Linked DNA regions of Coturnix japonica. The protein of the gene in region 1 interacts with the protein of each later gene in a pairwise test. Links are inferred from orthologs where the notes say so. Each region holds a gene or a part of one and is shown on either strand. Other genes may lie near its edges.

What was found. The genes of interacting proteins can lie anywhere in the genome.
Region 2: the proteins of MAL2 (region 1) and PBX3 interact in a two-hybrid assay, tested with the Homo sapiens proteins (2 studies listed by BioGRID). The two-hybrid records come from large-scale screens. The link is inferred for Coturnix japonica from reciprocal best matches to the Homo sapiens genes MAL2 and PBX3.

What each region holds. Positions count from the first base shown.
Region 1 is NC_029517.1:122,955,377-122,958,887, reverse strand, and holds part of MAL2 (protein MAL2), read right to left. Parts: intron 3,158-3,511; coding exon 2,999-3,157; intron 528-2,998; coding exon 456-527; 3' UTR 1-455. UniProt on the Homo sapiens protein: Member of the machinery of polarized transport. Required for the indirect transcytotic route at the step of the egress of the transcytosing cargo from perinuclear endosomes in order for it to travel to the apical surface via a raft-dependent pathway.
Region 2 is NC_029532.1:8,212,843-8,216,827, reverse strand, and holds the start of PBX3 (pre-B-cell leukemia transcription factor 3), read right to left. Parts: upstream 2,804-3,985; 5' UTR 1,942-2,803; coding exon 1,745-1,941; intron 1,708-1,744; exon of another isoform or gene 1,553-1,707; intron 1,526-1,552; exon of another isoform or gene 1,228-1,525; intron 1,099-1,227; coding exon 1,025-1,098; intron 1-1,024. UniProt on the Homo sapiens protein: Transcriptional activator that binds the sequence 5'-ATCAATCAA-3'.

The DNA of each region.
Region 1 (3,511 bases):
ATGACTCTACAAAGAGCCTCAAGGTCCTACCTGTGTGGAACACACTGTAATGCTGCAGCACACGTAGAGCTCAATCCTAGGCCTTAACAAGGGGGTAGCTCTTTTAGCTGCCTATGCAGGTAACATGTCTGTTTAGTTTCAGTTTTCTTCCTGTTCTTCTGGTTTAGCACCAGAATTCGGTTATCTGCTTGTAACATCTGTTTATCTCTGAACTCTGGATTACAATTCAACAAACAACGTTTCTAAGGAGTTCCCAAAGAAAGTAAAAAATAAAAAAGAGGAAGAGACAGAACCTTCTGTTAAAGAAATCCTGATTAAGGGTTATTTGCATTTCAGCACTTGGAAACGAATTTTAAGCAAAAAGTCTTTTTTGGAATTACATTACAGTAAAACAGACAAGTAGTACTTAATTTGATCTGAAGTTGAACTCTTGGGAATCAAAGTCTCTTCAACTGCTATAGCTTCCATCTCCTCAAAGCCAGGGCTGTGCTGAAACCATAACAAACAGCTGTTGCAAAGGCAAAAATCTAAAGGATGAGCAGGGAGAAAAGAGAAAGAAGAGAAAAAAAGTGAATCACACATTATATTGCTCTACATATTTTTTTCTATTTTAAATTAGTGTAACAACACAAACGACTCAAAAGGTACCCCCCCAGTAGTAAAGACAGACCTGGTATCATCTGAAGCCTTCTCATAAACTCTGTTTTAAGCCCACCTTATTGTTATTATCTTAGCTGCTAGCTGCTGAAGATATTTTGACATAGGATATAAACAGAAGAGGTTGTGTGTTATTGTAGAAATTAAGCGCTTGATATTTCAGTTTCCTCTTATCTAGACTGAGAATCTAAGATTAGTATTTCATTAGAAAGTATCCAGGTAAATGCCTTTACTGGCAAACAATGAACGAGATGTCCCTCCAAACAGCAGAGCCTTTTACTTGCAGAAAGAAACAGTTGGGCCTCTTCAACCAGAGAAAAAGACATGACAGATTGTTGAGAAATGTCAGGAAGATGCTACAGCTCAAGAAAATGAACAGATAAGAACTGTAGATAGTGCCACGGCAAAAGTGAGTATGTAACATAAACAAGAAGGGAGAAGTTAGAAACTGAGTTGGAAGTAACAAAAATGTCTCATATTGTCCACTACTGATCAAGGACACTTTCTCTTAGAACATATAGATTTGATCCAACGATAACAACCTTGATTCCACACATGCACTGATTTGATAAATCAAGGTTTGAATAGATCCTAGGAGTATTATTCATAAAAGCAAAAGATACATTTTAATTGCAGTATACACAACTAGAAAGTCATTTTCAGATGGAAAAGTTAGCAAGGCCTTATCTTATTTGTTTGTAGACTGTTTTACTGATGTGTTTCAAAGGGTCACTTTTTGTTTATTTGTATGCTCTGACTTCCTAATCAGGTACTTTTAATTAAAAAAAAAAAAAAAAAAAAAAAAAAGAAGAAGATACTAAAAACTACATCATTTGATTCACCATCTCCCACCATCTCTTAATTAACAGATAAGGTGAGTTACAAAATCACATCCTCTTACTTCATCTGAACAAAGATCCAAGGGTTGTGAAGTACTGAACTCTTCTTAGAAAAGAAGGAGAGTATGAAAGAGGTAAAGAGTCTTTGTATTCCTCAGTACTTTGTTGTTGGAGAGACACATGAGTTACCACGTATCAAGTAAGATCTGAACACACTGAAACAAGGACTGCGGAGCTACTTTGAAGTATGGAATTTGAGACATGTAATTAATTCAAAGCTCTCCACCAGTTTAGACACAGTTGAGAGACATCATCTGTCTACCAGCCATGGTCATACAGGAATTTGTGCTGGACTATGTCACAGGCAAGTGGGTAATGGTGAGGAATTTGTGTCTTGAAGACTGACATACTCAATTCACTCTTTCAGAGCCTAGCTTGCCAAAGTACAAGGCCTTTCTTTCCTAATCTTGAAGAAACGGTGTAACTCTTAGACGTTGGGTTCATTCATTTTGACCCACTCTAATATGAGCTGAAGGTATTTATTGTGTAAAATCTACGGTTATCTAGTTCTGAAGACAAGAGATACCCCCAAAATGATTCAGAAACTTAATAAATGTAGGAAGTTCCTTTAAGTATGTGAGATGCCCTGGAAGATACAAATACAAACAAACAAATCCCACAGCCCAAACTCAGAAACACAACAATAACCAAACCAACCAACCAACCCAAAACACAAAACAAGCAGCAGTTTCAGTTCTTCCAATTAATTCTGCTGGCACACCACTACTTGCCATTCAGGAGTCCAGCTAGGGAGAAAGCTGAAGGTCTGTGTATTTTCTGACTCAGCAATGAACACACACATCACCAGATATGGTGATTCAGTGATGATGCAATTATAGTGATAAAAAGGCAATCTGAGCTTAGCTTAGAGAGCTTTATTGATTAATAAAAGCTCTCTAATCCTTGCCACAGGAGATAGCACGCCCCTTGCAGCTGCTTTTTATGCTTGACATCAGAAAATATGTACCTGGAGCTTTATAAGGAGCTAGTCCAACATTTTTCCCTATGGCATGCTCAGGACTATCTAAAAGGTATCAAAACACCCAAGCAATTACAAGTTTGAGAGCAGGCTTGAAAGTCATACCTGACACTTTGATGAAGGCTCAGTTTTCATCTTTTGCTTCTATTTCAATACCTAGCATTATTTTTACTAAATATCTCACCTAAAAACTAGATTCTGTAGTAATCACAGACTTAAAACACTACTGTAAACAGTACCATCTAAGCATCTATCTCGTTAGGCTCCATTAACAGATCACTGCACTTTTTTTGCATGCCACTGTAAGAATGGCTGATTATTCCAGAATGTTTGCTGCTTTCAAAGACTATTTTCTTCCTCACAATCCCTCTTCCCATTCCAGCGCAGTTCCCAAGTTGAAAGGCTGGTTACCAGTGCTTACATCAGAATTCCACTGCTAGGTACAAGTTCATGAAATACATACCGAGGCTGCTATGCTTATGTTATATTCATGATCACCCAGAATAGTCACAGATGTGGTGGAATTTAATCTGCGAGGGTAGTGATGCAGGGATGTAGTTGCTGCTTGCAGTAGAAAAGCTCCAAAATAAAAGACAAAAGTAGCACCATGGAAAAGGAAGTCCTGAAAAGCAAACAACAGGTTCAGTCCAGGCTGCTATACATATCTAACCCTTCTAGTCTCAGCATAAATGAAATCCAACACAGAAACATGAAACAAGCAGTGATAATAATCGTTCATAAGCAATGCTTAAGCACAACATATTTTCATAACTGCCTACAATTATAAGCAACTCAACATAATTAGTAATAAAGGGCAGCCCTCCCTCTCCCCAAACCCTGCATTCTTTCAAATTAAGAGGCATGTACTCATCTACAAGCACGTGTGCTGACCTTTTCAGATCACTTTAAAGCTAAAAGTGGGAGCTTACAGAATTCTCCCCTAGTGAGGCTTAGGTTAAAAACAGGGGACATACAG
Region 2 (3,985 bases), on another chromosome or scaffold:
GTCACAGGACCCAGGACCCACGGCCGCTCCGGCTCAGCACAAGCAGGGGCCGCTGCCGGCACCGCTGCACGGGCACAAAGTTCAGGGCAGGAAAACAAACAGGAGCCGCGGATGGAGGGACACCGCGCAGGCAGGGGGGAGGCAGAGAGGATCGCGCTCCTTATCTGAGGTAATGTCACGCAGTGTAACGTGGAATCAATCTTAATATTTGCAGCGCAGCCGATATCCAGCTCTCAGCCGTCAGCAGAGCTGAAGCGGGACCCGGCGGCACAGGAGCCCGTGCACAACACGCACCAACTGCACCGACAGCCGCGCACCGGGCAGCTCAGCTGGGCTCTGCTGCGTGCACGAGGCGGCTGCTAACCTCTATAACCCCAGATTTTCAGCTTGCAACTAAGAGGGCTGCAATGGAGCACCAAATACAGCTAAAAAGCAAACGAGTGCAGGTGTTCAGTTTTAAGGCCAGATTAGGAAAAAAGAAAAAAGAAAAAAAAAAGTCAAAAAAGTCCTTATTGTCACAATGAAGAGTACGATATTTTTCAAAATTGTCTTATTTTAAAAAAAGAAAAAATCTCTGTAAATTCAGCGATGTAAGAAATTTGCAAAAATCCCTTCAAACGCCTTCGAGACAAACGCGACATTCCTTCCCGTCTCATTAATGTTGCACGGAAAATAACGTTGTTGTGACCATCATTTCAGTGTTTCAAACCCCGCCGCCCGCAGCTGCCAACGCGGAGCCGGAGCCGGAGCCGGAGCCGCTCTGCACGCGCGGCCGCATCCGTCACTTCGGCGCTGCCCGTCCCTCTCCAGCGCTTCCCTCGCGGCGCTGCCGGCGCTGCACGCGGCGGATCCGGGCCCGGGCCGGGCGCTGCCGGGTGCCGCTGTGCGCCGGTACCGCGGGCAGGGCAGGGCAGGGCCGGGCGCATCCCGGAGGCGGCGGAGGGCCGCGGCCGAGCAGCGGGCGGCAGCGCCGAGGCGCGGCGGAGGAGGGCTCAAGATGGCTGCGGCGCGGGCCGGCCCTTACCTGTTTTCTCCTTGATCTCGCAGAGGACGCTGAAGAGCGCGGGCTTCATCCTGTGGCAGTTCAGCGCGTGCTTCCTGCAAGAGAGCACACACAGCGTTAGCGCCCGACGCGAACATGGCGCCCGCCGCGCCGCGCCGCCAGGCCGCCCGCAGAGCCCGGCATCGGGCCCCGAAACCGGCCCCGAAACCGGCCCCGGCCCGCACCAGGAGCGGGCCCGAGCGGGGCCGTTGCTCCGTGCCACACCGCGGCGGCGCCTCTCAGCGCCGGGCCGGGCCCGGGCCCCGCTGCGCGCGGCGTAAATCAGCGCCGTCCGGGGCTGATTTATTGCGGAGCGGCCCGGGCCGGGCCGCGCTTTGTTTCGCAGGGCGGTGATTTAGGACGGCCGCCGCTCTCTCCCCCCGCGGCGGTGTCTGCTCGGCGCCGCCATCCATCTCCCGCCGCGCCGGGCACGGGGCAGCGCCGCGGAAAGTTGCGGCCCGGCCCGGGGCCCGCGGACACACGGACACGGGACGGGGCCGGCTCGAGCACCTCCCGCTGCCGCGTTTATCGCTCGGCTCGAGGCGTTCAGCGGCGTTAAGCGGCGTTCAGCGGCGCTCCGGCCGCGCCCCGCTCGCCCGGCGGTTCCTCCGGCGCCAGAAGTTCTGTCCCGGCCGCGTTCCCGGGCCGGAGCTGCGCGCCCCACGCGCGCCGACAGACAAGGCGTAACGAGACGACACCAACTTTGCTTGCGCCTCGTCCAGGCTTTGGTCGGTGATGGTCATGATCTGGTGCAGGATGTCCCCGATGTCCTGCTTCCTGCCGTCGCCGTCGGCCCCGTCGTGTCCGTGTGGAGGCGGCAGGGCCATGCCCCCCTGCACCGAGTGCCCCGCCAGGTTGACGCCCGCCAGGGTCTGCAGCATGCGGGACTGCTCGTCCATGGCCCCGCGCCGCGGGGGCACTGAGCGCCCCGGCTCGGCCCCGCCGCTCCGCGACGGCGAGAGGCGAAAAAAAAAGGCAAAAACACCAAAAGGAAACGGCGGCCGAAGGAGCGGCGGTGCCGGGAGCGGCGGCGGCTGGAAACGCGCTGTTCTCCCCGGCGCGGTAAATCACTCTTCTTTAGTTACAGTCTTCTCCCGTCAGCACCATGTCTGTGCCGGGCCGCTGCCTGTCCCCGGAGCGATCTTCCTCCACAGCGTTTTATTATGAGCAGTAGTATGATTGTTATCCTCTGCTATTATTGTTTTTATTGTTGCTTTCTATGTCTTTTCCCCACTTTGTCCAAAGAATCTTCTATGCGAAAAGGCAACAAAATAAAAAAAAAAAAAAAAAGTAAAAAAAAAATAAAAAATGACAAAATGCCCAAAGTTGGATTATTCAGATCCCGCAGAAGTTGGGAGGGCAAAGAGCAAAAAGCACAACGAGCCGAGCGGCCCCGGACCGACACATCAAAACGGCACCAAAACACGAGCAAAATTAATGCCCTCCCCCCAAAAATCACCAACCATCCCGGGTGAGCGGGGGGACGGCGAGGAGCAAAGTTTGAACTCGCGCAAAGAAAAGAGCGGAAATCGAGGGGAAAGAACTGTAAAAAAATTAATTACACACTGTGTGCGAAGCAACGTGCAAAAATATCAGCCGGCGGGGATTTATGAGCGCGGCCGCCCGGTGACTGTGTGTGCTTTATGTTGTTTGATGGCCGCTCCGGTGAGGGATTGACAGCCTGCCAATGCCACTCACTCACCCCGCAGACGTGTCACCCTGTGAGCAGCGCCGGACGAGCCACAGGACGAGCCGATCCGCCCCGCCCCGCAGCGCGCCGCCCCTCCCGCCCCGCCCCGCCCCATCGGGCGTGTCCGCCGCCGCCCCGCCCCGCGCCGCGGGGTCGCCCTCCCGCCGGGCCCGGAGCCGCGGCGCTCCCCGGGGGGCGGGCTCCGCGCGGAGCGGCGGGACCGGCGGCCAATCGGCGCGGCCGCGGGCGGGCGCTCCGGCCAATCGGCGACAGAGGCGCGGCGCCGCGCCCGCCCGCCCCCGCGGAGCCCCCGCCCCCTCGGCCGAGAAACTTGCGATTGGGCCGTTCGAACGGTCACGTGGCCCCGACGAAAGCCGCTCCGGCCCCGCCCCTTCTGTTGCTATGGGAGCGCCCCGGCCTCCGCTACACGCCGGCACCGAGACGGGACCGCGGCAGCACCGCGCGGCGGGACGGGACGGGACGGGACGGGGCAGCGCCCAGAGCGTGGGCGGTTTCAGAGCGCTGAGCTTTGGGGACGGAGCTTCGGAGCTTTACGAAGTTGGGTTCCCTCAGCTCCATAGCAAACAGCGCGGGGCTGTCACAGATGTGACGTGTGTACAGAACAAACAGCGGCTCGTGCTCCCGCCGTGTTACCTGCACATCCCGCCGGCCCCGCGCCTCCCTCACCTGCCCGGCCATGCCTGGCTGTCGCTGCGCGGTGTGACGGCATTAACACAGTCTCGGTTCGGCGCTGTGAAGCCCCGGCACGAATTGGAGCCGCGCTCGGCGGGGACGCGCTCTGTGTGACGGACTGCTCCGGATAAAAGTCATGTCCAAACTAAAACCTCTCCCCAACATCTCCTGGATGTGCAGCTGATGGCACAGGATCAATGTGGCCAATAGAGCTCTCCATGTTCCTCCACAGCTCCCGCTGCTATCACAGCTGACACCACCACGTCTCCTCCCCTCAGCACCATCACTCCGACGTCCCCTGTTTGACGTGGGGTTCCTCTCCACGTCCCGTGGGGGATGTTCTGGCTATTTCGGGTTCAACACTTTTACTGTTCCTCCAGGTAGTTAGAACATTCTCTAACATCTTCCATCTTCATTACTGAGACATTTTCTGGTATGAATGATCGCGTTCTTAGTGTCATCCAGCTTTATTAAAACTGCTGCTCCAAAGAGCTGTTCTATTCTCATTATTTCGAATACTTTGCACGTCAGCTTACATTTGTCCACCAAGTGTGAGGCTC